Drosophila melanogaster: one gene and its partners. The protein of the gene in region 2 interacts with the protein of the main gene of each other region in a pairwise test. Each region holds a gene or a part of one and is shown on either strand. Other genes may lie near its edges. The genes, in order: Sf3b1, Syx16 and bi.

Region 1 (5,880 bases), on a different chromosome or scaffold from region 2:
TGCTCGTCCACTAGTCCGTGCTCGATAATCTCCACGAGAGCTTTAAGATGCGGCAATATAGCACATCCCATCAGGATGGCAATTTGCTGGACAATTTTGATGCCAGTGTGCCGCGCTTGCCAGGATTTCTTCGACTTGCAAACGGCTTTTAGGAAGGGCAGTAAAGAGGGAATTCCCAAAGCTGAAGCGACCACGGCAAAGGCACGCGCTGTGGTGTTTCGTACATACTCGTCGATGTTGTCAATGTCCGGTCTCATAGTAGAGATCATGGTGGCCAAACCAGCGGCCTTGGCCAGGTTGGATATGATTTCTCTGCCTTCTATGCGAGCGTAGTGATCTTCATCAATCAGCAGCGGTTCTATGACCACCAAAATCTTGTGCACATAGGGCCGCACCAAATCGTCCAGTTTGTATAAAACACGATCAATTACCTTCACTAATAAATGACGCTCTTGGTCCTCCAATGTGGGCGACATAAGCAACGGAAGAATCTGGTTAAACAAAGGTCCTGCTCCGAATTCCCTTGCTTTGTCCGTAATCTGCCTCAAGGCCGACTTTCTCATTGGTGGCGAGCCGTTCTTGATGGTCAGCAGTAGCTTCATTATCTTGCGCTCCTTGAGTTCCTCAGGCGACAGAGAGTCTTCGTTCACGTCTACAAGTAGCTTGTCAAAATATTGCGCATCCTCTGGTTTCATGAAGGGGAGATTTTGCCCCTTTGGTTGGTTATCCATGAATTTGGCATTCTTGTCCTCCACTTGGATGAAGAAACCGGCTGGGGTGCCAGCAATTGGCGTAGGCGTGGCCATCAGCTTTCTGCCGGGAGTGCGCAGTGGAACATAGCCAGCTGGTGGCGGTAGAATTTTGTAACCAGGCGGAAAGATTTGGTCCAACTCTTCGTCTGTGTATGGCCTGTTTCTCTCGTCGATTTCCTTTTCCCAGCGATAGGCTTGCAATTGCTCTGGTGTCATCGCAGCCAGAGCTCCCGCAGAGGGCGTGGCCATGGCCATTGCCTTGACTCCGATAGGAGTACTGCCTCCGGGCGTCAGCATGGGAGTAGCATGTCCCGGAGTCACATGTGGCGTCATACTGGGAGTCATATTTGGAGTCATGGCACTCGCATTTGTAGGAGTAATAGCCGGCGTAGCATTCGAGGGCGTTTCATCCCAACGAGAGCGACGTTTGGAGGCCCCGGGGGTGGACTCGATTGATATGCTCTCCGCGCCGCCTCCACTGCCTGTGCGATCTGGCTTTGGAGTCTCGGCCCATCCGCTGTGTCCGGGAGTCTCACGCTCTGTTTTCGGGGTTTCGTCCCAGCGATTTCGACGGGCCGACTTCTCGTGTCCAGGAGTCTCGTGTCCTGGGGTCACAGCGTGGGCCGGAGTGGCGTCCCAGATGCGGGTGCCCAGTCCCGGCGTCGCTCCTGGCGTCTCGCTGCCCTTGTGACCCGGAGTCTCATCCCAACGGTGGTCTCCAGGAGTTTTCTACGGAGTAAATTAATATTTTATTATATCATCCATTATACTTCCCAGAATACTCACATCTTCCCAAGTTGGGGTAGCTGCGCTGCTTGGCGTGGCCATCTTGGCCGGGATGAAGCTGTCGCTGACCGTCTGGTCCCATCTGCCTCGCTTTCTGCCGCCGTCCTTTGGTGCAGGCAGGTCCCCATTTGAAGTTGACGACGATGTAACGGTCTTTACCAGAGTTCCCTCCTTGGTTTTCTCCAGGATTCTTCGGCGGAGCTCAGATTCCTCGCCCTTCAGCATCTGCTCCCGCATGATGTCCGTGTAGGTGCGAGAGCCCACATCTGGGGTTTTCCCGCCATCGGCAAAGGGATCCGCTCGCTCTGGGGAAATGATGATGTGACGTCTCTTCTGCCTGTACTCATCCTCCCGATCGGCAATCGTTGGACGCCTGCGGTCTGCCATGGGATCCACATCCTCCTTGCCCTGGGTCACGTCCTTTAGCACGGAGGCCGGCGCCGTGTACGTGGTGCGTTTCTGGGGCACGGGGAAGCCGTCGTCCTCATCCTCATCGACTTCCTCGGCGTCGTTGGCCGCAATGGAGGTGTTGTACCCCTCGTAACGCCCCTTCCCCTTGGCGGCATCATCGTCGTACAAGTCGCTGTCGAAGAATCCTCCGCTGTCCAGCAATCCCACGCCGGCTGCTGCGGCAGTGGTCTTGGCCAACTCCGTCTTCTTCTCCTGGATCACGCTGATCTGTGCCTCGATATCTGTGAGTAAAAATAGGTAAAGATACTTGATTTTCATAGTAGACCACCAGCCAGAAAAACCGGTCGATCCCCATTTGTGTGTGCGGTTCCTTTTGGTGCGCAGATAGTATATTTACGTTTTGGCAATGGCGGTGGTTTGCCACCGTGAGTGTTTATATCGCTTACCTTCATGTGTTCGCGGAATATTTTCCATTTTTATAAAAACTTTACCAAGAGAAGAGCGTACATGTAAAACCAGTGTTACCAGATGATAATAGCGCCTGGTCTAAGTGTGACCAAATACATATCATATCGTACTAGCAGCTATCGGGAAACATTCGATTTCTTAAATCTTCTCATTCCACCCGATATTGATGATGATATTTTGGACAACTTTTATTACAAAGTTCGATACAAAATATAAATGCATTATTTGTTTATTATTTTTTAAGCAAATAATAATCGATAGCTGGCAGGCCAGCTGAGCCGTCTGCCGATTGCTCATCACTAACGAACAAGTTGCGGCACGTGTTTACTTTTGTTTTGACCGCGAGAATGTTGGCCAAAAAACAGAAAATGCAGGAGACGGACACGGAGCAAGAGGCCACGCCACATACGATACAGGCGCGCCTCGTTTCGGACACGGGCGAGGAAGCGGGCCCGCCAATCGACCTGCCGGCAGGAATCACTACCCAGCAATTGGGTCTGATTTGCAACGCGCTGCTGAAAAACGAGGAAGCCACTCCATATTTGTTTTTCGTGGGCGAGGATGAGATCAAGAAGAGCCTGGAGGACACGTTGGACTTGGCGTCAGTGGACACCGAAAACGTGATCGATATTGTGTATCAGCCACAGGCGGTTTTCAAAGTGCGCCCAGTGACAAGATGCACGAGTTCCATGCCGGGACACGCCGAGGCTGTGGTTTCGCTGAATTTCAGCCCGGATGGTGCTCATCTCGCCAGTGGAAGTGGCGACACCACAGTGCGATTGTGGGATCTTAACACAGAGACACCGCACTTCACCTGCACAGGTCATAAGCAGTGGGTTCTGTGCGTATCCTGGGCTCCGGATGGCAAACGGTTGGCCAGCGGTTGCAAAGCGGGCTCTATAATCATCTGGGACCCGGAGACGGGTCAGCAGAAGGGGCGACCCTTGAGTGGGCACAAGAAACACATCAACTGCCTCGCCTGGGAACCGTATCATCGCGATCCGGAGTGCAGGAAACTTGCTTCCGCCAGTGGAGACGGGGACTGCCGGATTTGGGACGTGAAATTGGGCCAGTGCCTTATGAACATTGCCGGACACACAAATGCTGTGACAGCAGTGAGATGGGGTGGAGCGGGCCTTATTTATACATCCTCCAAAGATCGCACAGTGAAGATGTGGCGAGCAGCTGATGGAATCTTGTGCCGGACGTTCTCTGGCCACGCTCACTGGGTAAACAACATTGCGCTGAGCACCGACTACGTCCTGCGCACTGGTCCATTCCATCCGGTGAAGGATCGCTCCAAGAGCCACCTCAGTTTGAGCAGTAAGAATTCATATGCTCTCTATATATGCTGTATATCCTAAAAGAGATTGTTTTACAGCTGAGGAATTGCAGGAATCTGCCTTGAAGCGCTACCAGGCCGTGTGCCCTGACGAGGTGGAGTCGCTGGTTTCCTGTTCGGATGACAACACCCTCTATCTGTGGCGGAACAACCAGAACAAGTGCGTTGAGCGCATGACAGGGCACCAGAACGTGGTCAACGACGTGAAATATTCGCCGGATGTAAAGCTAATTGCGTCTGCTTCATTTGACAAGTCAGTGCGTCTGTGGCGAGCCAGCGATGGTCAGTACATGGCCACCTTCCGGGGTCATGTGCAGGCTGTTTACACGGTTGCCTGGTCCGCGGACTCCCGCTTGATTGTTTCCGGCAGCAAAGACTCAACTCTAAAAGGTTAGCACGTAGTTTCAGTTTTCTAGCGCTAGCTAATACATATCCTCTTGCTTAGTATGGAGTGTGCAGACGAAGAAACTGGCACAGGAGCTGCCTGGACATGCGGATGAGGTGTTCGGAGTGGACTGGGCGCCCGATGGCTCTAGAGTTGCCTCTGGTGGCAAGGACAAAGTTATAAAGCTGTAAGTTTGAGTAACGAGGTTTTCTATAACAATATACAGACTCTAATTGTATCTTTCAGATGGGCTTATTAACAAATCATTAACTTGTACACGGTAAGAAAATACTTAGGAATAAAGTAAAACGTCCTGAGTAAATGCCTTCGTTCTTTTTGGTGTTCAAAGTACCATCTATATGCTCTGCTGTTGAATGATCCGGGCAGTATGCTTGTAGCGACTCTCAAAAGATTCTTGATTTGAGAAGTACGTTGCGGGAACGGCGGACTCAGACTGCAGTGCCCTTTCAGCGGCCACAAAGCCGCCGGCGATGCACTCGTCCAGAGATCGCCCTCGCAGCAGGGCAGTGATGAAGCCCGCGCAGAAACTATCGCCCGCTCCGGAGACATTCACAATATTGTGAACCATGGGAGCGGGATAGAAGCGAGTGCTGTGTGGCGGCGTGGGCTTACTCACATCGAGGAGCAATCTGGCATCGTTTTCAGCGTCCCCTCGATAGCTGAGTAGCACCCCGTGGTCACTCAGCGTAGCTATGATGCAATTGAAGTGGCTGTCGATTTTTTTGATCAAGGACTTCGCTTGCTGAACCAGTTCCGTTTGTGGCTGTTTGGTTTCTGGATTCCATTTGACAGTTTCGCCCGTTATAGCCTCCGTAATAGTTTTCAACTCCTGCATATTCGGTTTGATCAGGCGTATGTTCTTGGTTAACTCCGGCAGCAGCTTGAACGGTTTACCGGCTATGAACATATCTGTGGGCTCGAAGAAGACTGGAATCTTGTTGATTTGCGCCTGCTGCAGAATGCTGGCCATGGCCTGCTCCGATATGTTGCTGTCCATGATGATGAGAGGAGCTTCTCGGAAGAGTTGGTGGTGCGCTTGCAGGGTCTCGGCTGTAATGCTCTGGTGGATTTCCATGTTGCCCAGAATCAGCTTGCAATCTCCAAACTTATCGAAGATTAGGGAGCACAATGAGGTGTTGTGGTTGTCCGCCACAATTAGGCCCCGCTTCAGCGCCTTTGGCATCATTTGAAGCAGCGTTTGTCCCATCTGGTCGTTTCCCACGGCGGAAATTAGGTTTACATCTCCGTATAGCTTGTAGATGCCCTCAGCTATGTTCCGACCCACTCCCCCAGCCGCCTGTTTAGCTACCGCGGAATACGTCGCTCCATCAAGCTTCATGTCGCGTTTCTGATCGTCCACCTTAAAGGAAAGATCCAGGATGGAGGCTCCCACAACCAGTGGCTTTTTATCGATTGCTTTTTGGACCGGGCTTTCCAGTTTCGTGGACACGTCACAAAGCGATGCGGCGATTTGAGCAGCAACCTTGGCATTGTTCTTGATTAGTGCTATGTTAGACTTAAGGCTCCTTCCTTCGGTGATCTTGGCTATGGCGGCCAGCAGGAATGGAGTAACCTCCTTGCCGGAAATTCCCTGGGCCCTGGCTTGAGCAGTTGCTTCCTTGATGGCCTCCTCAATTTTGAATTTATCTGCGGCAAACTCCTCCGGAATGGGAACACCAATTACCAGGCCTGATTCCATTTTCAATTCCCGCCAA
Region 2 (5,880 bases):
ATAAACGAATTTATATTCACACAACACATACATATATGTATATTTATATATTAAAAAGTCACATATACATATGCACATACTCCACGTCGACCATCGACTATCGGATACCCATTACTAAGCTAAAGGTGTATGAGCTATGTATGTATACCTTTTTGCGTGCCTCTTTTGCGAAACTCTTTCAATTACCGACCTTAACTGGTAAAATAAAACGGCTCTTCTGAACTATTTTGTGATTTATTTTTATAGTGATTTATTTAATGGTTCGTTAATGTCCTGTATGGTTGAGAGACTCTGAGGAAGAGACATTGGTCATTAGTGTCTGAAAAGATATGTATGATTGAATATGTGTAGAATGAAGGTAATTCCTCGTGAGACTTGTTTACCAGCCCTGAGGACGCTCTAGCTTTAGTCGCTTAGCCAACGGATTCCCATCTGGATTTTGCTCTGAAACCGAAGTTAAATACCCAGTTGGGTCCTCCACGGGAAACGTTCGCTTCTTTACGTCCAGCATGCTAATGAAACTATGAACTTTATGTCAGGACTCTCACCACGAATTACTTCAACTCACAGCAAATTGCTGCTGAACAACAGCTCATTTAGGCGCTCGTGCTCTTCGCGCGAAGGACTTCTGTTAGGCTGCTCCATGTCCAAGATCGAGTCCATTCCTGCCAGCATTGCGATCACGCTAGCTTGCAAGTTGCCATCATTGACAGATGCCGTCTGGGCAGACTTATTCACTGTATTGGATGGCAAACCCTTAGTCATCGTAGACTGATTGCCCATCCACTGATTGAATCCACGCGTAAACTGAGGCTGCAATTCTTCCGGAATATTCCGGAGGAAATAGGAATGGGATTCGTTGTTCGGATTTGGCATCTTGAAGTTCCGTTGTGACATGGAAATGGTTTCTCCGGTACGGGTTCTAGATGTGAACTGAATTCAATAGGGACCAAAGCAAACCAAATGTCAAAAATAGGCTACCTTTTGATTGATTGAAAATGAAAGGGTTGCATTTAATAATTATGCAAAAATGATTTATATTTAATTATATTATATATATTATAAAATTATTATGATATATTTAAATTATATTTATCCCACTCGTCTGTAGCTGATTAACAGTTATCTGAATATGATTCCAAAATTAAGATTAAGTATATATGTACATATATACTGTTATTATATATTAACAGTATATATATAACAGTATATATATACATATATATGGGCCTAACAGAAACCATTATTCCTTTCGGTACCCTTTGCCATCTTTTGAGAATTTACATTGTGTTGTTCTATATGACAGTGACGTCACCTTATAGCTTTAGGCTGTACTTGAATTATTACTTTTGAAACAGCAATAATTCAATGAGTGATCAAATATGAATTCGCACTTCAATCAGCCTTCAAATCCAATGATGTTTCTTATCAAGAATTCAGGCGTATTATATTTCGGAATTCTACATTCTACATACTTTTTAGCCAGTGTAGAATTGTACATACGCATTGGTATTTTCGTCGAAATTCAGTGGTGTGGTATTCAGCTACAGATGTATTTGAAATCTCAGATTCGAGCGCGGTCACACTGAGCACGTGGAGCAGACAAAGCAGCTGGATTGAGAAATTATTGGAAACAACGCAGTAAAAGCACAACAGATTGCACCATGGAGGCAGAGAACATCAGAGCAGACGCATTCGAGCCGGCGAAGAGAGCGACGAAGCGCGGAGCCAGCGGAGGCGGGCAGCAGGACGTGGAGATGCAGGTGGACGAGGCGACCGGCATTGAGGGCCAGGTGCTGGGATCTTCGCGAGCATCGGCGCCGCCCAAGGCAAAGCGGGCCAGAAGCGAGCTGCGCAAGGTATCCGTGCCGCCACACAGGTACTCCTCGCTCAAGGAGCACTGGATGAAGATCTTTACGCCCGTGGTGGAGCACATGAAGCTGCAGATCCGCTTCAACATGAAGGCGCGCCAGGTGGAGCTGCGTGTGGGCCCCGAGACGCCGGACATAGCCAACCTGCAGCGCGGCGCCGACTTCGTGCGCGCCTTTCTCTGCGGCTTCGAGGTGGACGACGCCCTGGCCCTGCTGCGTCTGGAGGACCTGTTCGTCGAGTCGTTCGAAATCAAGGACGTGAAGACGCTGCGCGGCGACCACCAGTCTCGCGCCATCGGCCGCCTCGCCGGCAAGGGCGGCCGCACCAAATTCACCATCGAGAACGTGACCAAGACCCGCATCGTGCTAGCCGATAGCAAGATCCACATCCTGGGCAGCTACCAGAACATTCAGCTTGCGCGCCGGGCCGTCTGCAACCTAATCCTCGGCTCGCCGCCCAGCAAGGTGTATGGCAACCTGCGGGCAGTCGCCTCGCGCCTCTCGGAGCGCATGTGATTGGGAGAGCGGACTGGAGTGGACTGGACTGGAGTGGAGTTCGACTTGAGAGGGAGTAGTTGCGGTTTTTTTTTTAGCATTAGCAATAAATAATAAATATAATAACATGTATTCAAACATTTACAATATACACAAACACACACAGCGAATGACGGGAATGAGGTCGGCCCACTGGAGGCGCGTGGGCAACTAGAGCTTGGTCAGGATGAGCAGCAGCAGCATGAAGAATGTGACCGCCGCCAGGACGAGAATGACGCACATCTTGCGGTTCTTGCGCTGATACATTTCCGCCTTGTGCAGCTGGCGCAATCCCTCCGAGACGCGCGTCTGCGTCTGCTCCACGTTGTAGTCGATGCGGTCGAGCACAGTGCCCTGCTCCTGGACCATGTGGCCCAGGTCCTTGAAGATGTCGTTCAGGTCGTAGATGGACTTGACTATCTTGGTCACCTCCTGCTCGCGGTGCTGCGCCACCCGCGTGTTCTCCTCCTCGAAGAGCAGCAGCTGCTGTTGGGTCATCCGGCTGGCCGGCGGCCTTTGGAAGTGATCGTCGATGGCCTGCTCGTCGTCCTCGAACAGATAGCCGTTGCCGGACTTGCCCTCCGCCGGCGGCTGCAGAAAGTTGTCGAAGGAGTCGACGAAGTTCTCGGCGCTCTGCTCGCCCAGCTCCACGTTTGTGAAGACGTCTCCAGCGCCAGCGCCGCCGCCGTCGTCGAAGTACTTCTGCGAGCGCTCCTCGCGGGAGTTCAGCTGAAGCAGGTAGGCATTCTGGCTGGCACGGAACTTCACCGTCAGCTCCTGCAGCTGGAGCAGGGCGCAGTGTACCGCGTTGACCGTCAGGCACTGCTCCATCTTGCTGCCCACGCCGATGCTGCTGCGCACGCACTGGATGTGCCGGTGCGTGGAGGTGATCAGCTTGGAGACGATTTGGCTGAGCACCTCGATGTCGCACTCGTCGTCCCGCTGATCATCGAAGGCGGGTCGCAGGAGGTGGCGTGCGTGCAGGGAGCCCAGTTCATCCAGCTTAGGCTTGATCCTGCAAACGAGTGATGGGAGTGAAGTTGAACCCTGCGCATGGACTACTGTTTGTTTACCCACTTAGACATGGTGTACTGCGCCTCCTCGAACTTGTCCAGCCAGGCGGGCGGCGTGCCGTAGTCGTCCTGCAGCTCCAGTCCCTCCTCCGCCTCGCGCACCGAGTGCTTTAGAAGGCGCTCCGCATCGCTGCCCCTCTGGAAGACGGAGAAACGCAAAACATATGTTAGTTGATGATAACAGTGAAGACCCCAGACGGAGACGCACTCACCCGATCGTCGTAGTGATTCCGGTTCTTGGACGCATTGTTGCGCATGATGACGAACACCTCCGTCAGGTTGCGCGACGTCATCCTGGCCGTCTGCTCCCGATTTCTTGGGGATTGGAAGGATTGATCCAAGTCCGCTGAAAACTCAATCAGATTTTTTCCAGTTTCGTTTTGACACAGCAGCGCAGTGTGCCCGCTGACTTGCTCGCCCAGAATACCGATAGTCGCCACGACGAACTGGTCACCCTGGCCTGAACGCACCGTTACATGTCCGAGAATTATACTTATTTTAAATATTATTTTCTTATTATCTGTAGAATCTGTACTTTATATGTATACTCCTAAACATCCTATTTGCGAAAGTGATTTTTTCAATATACGGATTGGATAGCTCCAATAGAAATATTCGGAAATTACAGAATATAGTATTGCTTTGTTGAGTTTCAACAATTTATAAAGTTAATTCTGTACACACCGTCACGTAAATTGAAATGCAATACTTTTAGCAATAAAACGACCGTAATAGTACAATAAAAGTATTCAATAATTTGTTATGTGCGTTCTCTTTTTTTGCGTTACGAAAGAGTAATATAACCGAATGATATTGTAAATGATTTTAGAATCAAGTACATTTTAGGCTAATGTTTAAAAATTACAAATTTACAGAATTTTAGGGAACTCATTATGAGTTTGGCTTAACGTTTTCTAATAGCCAGCTTCCACTGTACTGGGTTTTAATCCGTGACACAAGCCTGTGACTTAAGAACACTGAAGAGCTATCGAAAGGCAAAACATATCGATGGCTCGACCCCCTGATATCGATTACTTGATAGCTCAGTCAGTTTGCACCTCCCCCTGATATCGATTGCCATCAAACAATTTTATTTCATTTTAAAATAATTCCTTGATTTCAAATTGCATTGTACTGGTAACTGGCACTTCCAATTGTGACCCGAAAGCAGCAAGCGCGGAAAACGGAGAGTTCAAGTGCGGGTGGAAAAGTCAGGATGTCATAACTAACTCCGAGCGGAACAACGAAATGAGCAGTGCGGACAAGGATAACAACGAATTATCCTGATCCTGGACGCCCGATTGCAGTTGTGTGTGTGCTTGCGCGCGTGTGCGTGTGCTTAGTGTGTGTGCCAGTGACGACATTGACCCGCCTTCGCCCCCGCCCCCACCCGCGCTCCAACCCACCACCACACCCCCCTTGAAGGGGTAACTGTGCCATGCCATTGTCGTTGTTGTGGTTGTGGTCGAGCTCGTTTCTAGCCTGACTTCGGCGGTGGAGCACTAGGGAAGGCAACACGAAAACACAAACATGTTCAACCGCCAGGCGAGCGGAGGAGCCGGATCCAGTGGCCAGGGTGCTGGGTCCAGCCAGACCGCTTCTGCAGCACCAGTCTCCGCTGGAGTTGGAGTAGGAGGGGGTGGAGGTGCCAGTGGAGCAGCGGCAGGAGCAGGCTCCGCAGCAGGATCTGGATCGGGATCAGGTTCCGGATCAGCAGCACCGCCCAGCCATTCGCCCGATCTCTACCTGCGCCCGCTGCCCTTTCTGGACGCCAAGTGGCTGCGCGCCGATCTCATCGCCTCCCTGCGCAACGCCGCCGACGGCGCCGTACTGTGGAACCATCTGATCCAGGACTGCGAGCTGGTCTCGTCGCCTACCGCGCCGCTCCTAAATGCCCGCGGACAACTATCCTACCTGGGCGACGATGGCAAGCACTACTGCGGCGCTCAGCAGCTCAAGTGCTCCTGCTGCCAGCCGGAGTACTGCGGTCCTCTCTCCGCCTGCAATTGCGACGGCTGTCGGCCTCTGGACTCGGACACGGCCATCAAAAAGCTTACCACCCAAGCTGCCGCCCAGCAAGCAGCCCATCTTAGCCAGGCCACCGACATGGTTCTGAGCGGCTGGCTCTGGAGCCAGCCACCTTCGCAGCAGGCGCGTTTGGATTGCCAGCGTTCTATGATCTCGGAGCTGCAGGAGCTAGCTCTACGCGCAGCCGGCAACTGTCTCTCTGCCCAGCATCTTCGCCAGCAACTCTTCATCTACGAGCGCTACTTCGTGGCCCTGAAAAGGGAGAGGGAACGGGAACGCAAGTCCACGACAAGCGCACAGGCGGTGGCCAGTGTCACCACCGCCAACACCACCATTGCCGCCACAACCGCCAATGCTGCAGTGGAGTCACAGCC
Region 3 (5,880 bases), about 16 Mb from region 2:
GAATCCGCAATCCTGCAAATGGGATTACAACACGTTGGAAAATCGCCCGAATGAGAACCACCCCCGGCAAGCCATCATCAGCTAGGTGGGGGTTTTTGTGTGGAGGAAAATTGCGTGAGTGCTGCTGAAGTCTGAGGCCAAAGGAAGTTGCTGGATGTCAGTCAGCTTTGCACGAGACAGCAGGACCAGGTTCTACTTCCCCAGCGCTTGGCTTCTTCCTCCCCTGCCAAGTCAGCTGGCGTGTTAGTCAGTCAATAGATAGAGCCAGGATAGCAGGATACAAAGGATCTGTCCATCGGATGTACAAACGTACACGCATCCATATACGAGTATGTACACACACATATAATATAGATGTGGTGCGTATTTATCGGTTAAGTGTGCAGTGTGTTTGTTGCCTTCAACCCCAAAAAAAAAAAAAAAACAAGGATAAGTGCCGCATCCAGGCCATTCCCAATTCCCGAAATCCAAAAAATACAATCCCCTCTTCCGTTTTCTTCCGCCGGTTGTAGCAACAACAATGGAGCTGGCATTTTATAGTAGCAGAGTACACAGTACATACCCCACCGAATACGGAATACGGAATACTGAATCGTGATTCCCGAATCATAGCCATATCCATGTCATAAGTCCGTTAGCAGCTTACCAACGAACAACCCCGACTGGAAACCTCACCAATTAATTGGTGAAGTCAGCAAAAGATATAGGTATTATGTGTTGTGGTATTTTGGAACTATTTTAGGTATATATAACACTTAATTCCGTAATTCGATCAAGACAATATATATTTCCAACTGTGTAATAATGTAATCCCTACTAAATGAGGATCAAAAAGAAAATGCATGTTCCCTCGGAAACAAGAAGAAAACATTCTCTAATATGTAATACAAATGGTTAAGGGTTGTTACCTACTTTCGAAAAGGGTTGAGTACTACGTTTCTAAACAGTCATAAAAGTCACTAATCGCTAATAAGCAGTGCAATAAACTACTCGAAAGAGAAAATTATTTTGGTGCTGGGGAAAATCCTTTCCTACAAAACATTGCTCTGTAAACGCGAATGATAATAGCCAGTGGCTTGGAATATTAGATTTATAAATATCCTTGATTTTCAGGCTTAGTATTTCGAAATTAGAACAAGTAGTCAAAATGTTTGCACGTTTTAAATCCTTTTCCGTATAACAATAGATAAATAGAAAAATGTCTAATTATTTTTGTACATCTTCAAGTGAAAGAACTTTGTGTGAGACCAGATTGATCGAGTGCTTGGCCAAGTATTCATTCTTGTGTTCATGGCTCAGTTCGTTTGGCACAACAGAGCGAAGCGACAAATCCAGTTCTGAATACAAGTTTGTATCGGTGGTCCTAGGCGGCTACGATCTCCTCCGCGAATCCCCTTGATCCCCTCCCTATTGAATAAGGCCCCATACAAAAAACCGGACTGTGCCGCAGACGCCGACTTGAGATATTATGTTTTCCGCAGCTGTCAAATTTGATTTGACAAATGTAAATAATACGGACAGACAAAGAGATTGTTGACATAATGGAAGGCGAGCTGATTTACACTTTTAGCTGCGTGTCGAGATGCGATCGTGATCTCGTCTCCGGAACCCCGCTCCCCAACTCTCCCCCCCCCCCTTATCCATCGCCATACATTGCATATATATAGTTTTTTTTTTTTTTTCTTTTTTGTTTTGTCATGCCTGAACAACTTGCAAATCTAGCGACTGTTTGACTGACTGCCTCCGGCTAATGGCTACAAATTGTCACATCAGTTAAGTAGCGAAAAAAGTATGAGAAAACAATTGACGAGGCGATAAACTGATGATACGGGTTCGGAAAGAGTTAGCTAATTGGATAATGGTTCCGATTTCGTTGCGCTTGAGCAGATCGGGATGGGGAATCTCCTGGGGGTTGGATCAATCAATCTAGACAATCTCCCTGGTGTTATGCGATGTGATTATCATAATGGGAAGGAGTTCCACCACGCTTTGTTTAAGGACTTTCCTATTAACTCATTGGATCACCAAAATATTGAAAGTAATTATCAGTAGTTCTACATTTAATGTTTGTAAATTTCTCATTTCTCAAGTAGGGAAAAACCAAGGAGTAGATTTTTTTGATAGTATACTATTTATTTCCAAGGGCAGCATAAACATAATATATTTGTATACCATTATGTTTTCATGATCTGAAACGGTATTTTGAAAATCTCAGGCGGAAACCAGTGTGTTTTTTATTTATATTCTTTGGACCTCCCACCTTGCTGTTGTTTGATTTTTATATATGTTTTTTTTTTTAAGTTTAAATACTCCACACTTTACGCACTTTTCAAACACAATTTTCTTTAATCTTGTCAGGTTTTCAAAAAATTCTGGACTGCACAAAAAAACAAAACAAAACAGAATCTGCAGGGTGATGTTGTTTCTTGATTCCTTATCGTCGACGGCCACGAAACGGTTAACGGTTAGCGGTTAAACGGTGAGCCGTATCGGTTAAGGTCAGTGTATTTATTTTGCCTTCGGATTGAAGCAAAAAAGGGGAATCACACGTAAACACGGCGAGACATTTGGTTTATCTGACGACGCGACGGCAAAAGCGTTTGACGTGAGCGTGTGACAGGCGGCGACTGCTGGCCGAGAACGATCCAAAAAGCCGAAAAGCCCGAAAAACGAAAAAAAAAAAAAAAACAACAAATAACCGGGCCAAGACGACGCCGAGCGCCAAAGTGCAAGAAGCCGGCAGCGACGTTCGCAGCGACGCCGGCAGAATGCGAAAGTGGGGAATCCCCATCGCGTGGGGGGAGGTGGGTTGGCCCGTGTTATGTTCACCACACGCGGGCAAAAAAGCTAAGGCCAGCTTAGCATAGGTTTTCCCCCTCGCCGTGCTGTCGAATGACAAGCATTTTGACACCCAAGTCGTGGGTAGTCTTGTAGTTGCTATTTTGTGGGTTACATATTTTCTTTTTAAAGCCCTTCTGTGTAATCCCTACACTCTATGCTCTCAGCTTTACTTGGCGAGGCCATTCTTTCTTTGCTTTCCTTCTTCTTGTCTTTATACGTAGCCTACCCTCCTGGTCTAACCCTATATAAGTATAAACGTATTCTTTCTTTCTTTGAGTGAAATCCCTCTGTGCGTTTTAAACCCACGTACACCCCTGGATTTTCCGCTGTGATCTCCGCTCTTCGTTTCATATGAAGTGTCGACGTTTACTAACAGAATTCCAATTTTGAATGACGCTATTCGCCACTCTGCTCGACGCTTTGCTTCACAAAACCCACCACGGCAGCACAGTCGACGTCGGCAGAGGCAGAGGCACGAATTCGCCTCGTTTCGCTTCGTTTTGAGTGAGCACTTCTTTGCATGTGTGTGTGTGTGTGTGTGAGTAATTGAGCACTTACTCAGAACCGGTTTATGCTAGGTTTTTTTTGTATCCTATTTGGTCCGAGCCAGGATAACAACACGCCGGATAACTCACGCACATTCGAATCGCATCCTTTGACTTCTTGGGAAAAAAGGACAACGGCTTAACCGTTAAATGTGTGTGTGTATGGTGTCCATTTTTTTTGGGGGGGGATACTACGAAAAACTGGAGCACAGATTAAGTCGCTGCCAAGCGAAAATAAACAAATTTGCAGAAATACGTGGAACCAATTTCGGGTAAAAGGAGCCAAATAAAAAACAAACTAGGATGTTGGCATTGTTATGACCTTAAGTATATGAAATCTGGAAACAGCTTTAAGATATTAAAACAGCTAAGAATCCTTTTAAGACGTAAATATGATTGTAGCTATTAGTTAAGTAATATATATACCATATATATATGTATATATTTGGGTTGGAAATACTTGGTAATCAAATGAAAGTAAAAACAAAAAGCTCAGCTTTAAAAAAAACACTAAATATTAATTCTAAGTTACAGAAAAAATATACAAAACCAGAGATAGTTGGGACTGTATTCAGATTGAGCTAACAGCTTATAAGAAATTATTTAAAAGGATTTTCGTAGGAATAATTGTTGAATTTTTTATATCTTGAACTGAGAATTTAGAATTTTAAGCAACTTTTTTTTTATATATTAACGAATTTATAAATTATAAAGCTTAAAAAAGGAAGAAGCTCAACAAGAAGCAAAAAGAAGGATGAAGATTGTGCGTGCGAAAGGGAGGACCGATGTCACGCAGAGCTAACGGTAGTCGGAATGCCATATGACACTTTCCTTCGCTTTTCGCCTTTTCTTGGGTTTTCATCCGCCGAAGCGCCAGAACGTAATGAATAAAATATGCAATAAGCGTAAAGCAGTAGAAATATGCAAATTCGTTTACAACGTCGCATCTTCTCTACTCTTGCTTTCAAAACCTCCATCCACAAACGCATTCCCTCTCGCTCACACTGCGGCACTTTCGCATGGGTGCGAAAAAGACGGCCATAAAGCAACGCCCCCTGCAAGGCGACCATTTTACACAGTTTCATGTGCGCAAGAACGAGAAGGCAAGTGCCAGAGGGAATGCGCATTCTCGGTGAGAAAGAGTGGGAGAGCGAGTGAATGTGTGTGTGTGTGTGTATGACTGAGTGAGTGAGTTGAGCGTTTTTTACCGGACTGTGGTGAGTTTTTTTCTCATCTCATCGCGATCGCTTAGTGGGCGGAGTCTCGGGCTTGTGTTCATGTGTGTGCGTGTAGAAGCGAGATAGCGTTACATGGCGAGAAGGAAAACACGCACACACACGTAGTCAGCGATTTTGTCACACAGGCAAAAATGTCCTTTTCCGTCTCCGTGCCTTCTCGTGTCCCTTATTTCTCAGTTTCCACTTCACCTATATGGCTTTATTCGGTTTTTTGGCGCGAAATTTTAGGCTCAAATTCGGAAAAGGGAGCTAAAATTTGGAGAAATAATAGAAGCACAGAACTTTGAAAAATAAAATTTCTTTAAAAAAAAAGAAAAATGTTGAAAAGATATTGCTGTGATTATGAAATTACAGCTCGCAATGTAGGAACTCAGATAAATATTGAATTCAAAACAAATAAATGATTAATACGTCAGTTATTTCTTTGGATAATTTGTGCTTCAAATATTGAATTTTTGATAATTCCAGATCACTAATCTTAAAAATTTTAAATTTAAAATAATTATAAAATAAATGTGTAGCAATTAAAAAACGAGGGTACATTTCGTTTCTCTGCCAAACCATTTCCGAATGCCCAGAACATCAAAAATAACATGTAAGAAGTTCCTGAATGCATCTGCCATGGCCGATGAGAATCAACTGTAAAATATGGCGCAATGTGCAATTGTTGATAATGGGGCATGTGGCGCGCATATCCTACCGATTCGCTATTCCGTATAGCCCGACTTTTTTACGCAGCTCTGGCGCCTGCGCCTCGCCTGCTAATTAGTCGAAGCTCCCGATCCCGAGGGATATACGAAAAGGGTGGCGTTTGGGGGGTCAGGAATACACTTGCTCCTTGTATTTGCTAAACTTTGCATTAAATTTTGGCGCTGCACAGGCTGTGGCAATTAATTTAGAGGCGCAACAAGCGTTGAAAGCGTCGAAATGAAGTGTGACGAGCATCGCAGAGGAGCTGCCACATTGCCACAGATGTATTTCCTTGTCCTCGGGGGAAGGATTGCACTGCAAGGAAGAAGGGCCAAATACTGGGTTCCCAAATAAAAATATGTAATATTTATTATTATTATTTGTAGTCTGAATTGCTTAGGTTTAACGCCCCAGAAAAATCCAAACAAAACATGGAAAGTTTTGCGTTTTTCCAGTGATATTTCTAATGTCTTTTTTTTTTTTGCCCAGTGCATGGAGGGCGTGCTGCAGGCTTTCCCACCTTTCCTTGGCTGCCTTACCGTGTCATCTTTTTCGGTTTCTCCAGG

Evidence for each region.
Region 1: the proteins of Syx16 (region 2) and Sf3b1 interact in a two-hybrid assay, tested with the Drosophila melanogaster proteins (one large-scale study listed by BioGRID).
Region 3: the proteins of Syx16 (region 2) and bi interact in a two-hybrid assay, tested with the Drosophila melanogaster proteins (one large-scale study listed by BioGRID).

What each region holds. Positions count from the first base shown.
Region 1 is NT_033779.5:564,949-570,828, reverse strand, and holds the start of Sf3b1 (splicing factor 3b subunit 1), read right to left. Parts: upstream 2,490-5,880; 5' UTR 2,424-2,489; coding exon 2,396-2,423; intron 2,231-2,395; coding exon 1,539-2,230; intron 1,482-1,538; coding exon 1-1,481. Other genes in the region: Nle (notchless), read left to right, coding at 2,765-3,740, 3,799-4,149, 4,205-4,331, 4,391-4,403; CG2794 (uncharacterized protein), read right to left, coding at 4,500-5,880.
Region 2 is NC_004354.4:20,389,872-20,395,751, forward strand, and holds Syx16 (syntaxin 16), read right to left. Parts: upstream 3,881-5,880; 5' UTR 3,772-3,880; coding exon 3,691-3,771; intron 3,617-3,690; coding exon 3,483-3,616; intron 3,421-3,482; coding exon 2,577-3,420; 3' UTR 2,463-2,576; downstream 1-2,462. Other genes in the region: jb (jean-baptiste), read right to left, coding at 319-319, 384-512, 569-897; l(1)G0004 (lethal (1) G0004), read left to right, coding at 1,665-2,387; HERC2 (HECT and RLD domain containing protein 2), read left to right, coding at 5,009-5,880.
Region 3 is NC_004354.4:4,410,192-4,416,071, reverse strand, and holds the start of bi (bifid), read right to left. Parts: upstream 3,217-5,880; 5' UTR 3,152-3,216; intron 2,611-3,151; exon of another isoform or gene 2,173-2,610; intron 1-2,172. UniProt on the Drosophila melanogaster protein: Essential protein that may function as a transcription regulator. Vital for pupal development. Required for proper development of the optic lobes and wings, and abdominal pigmentation.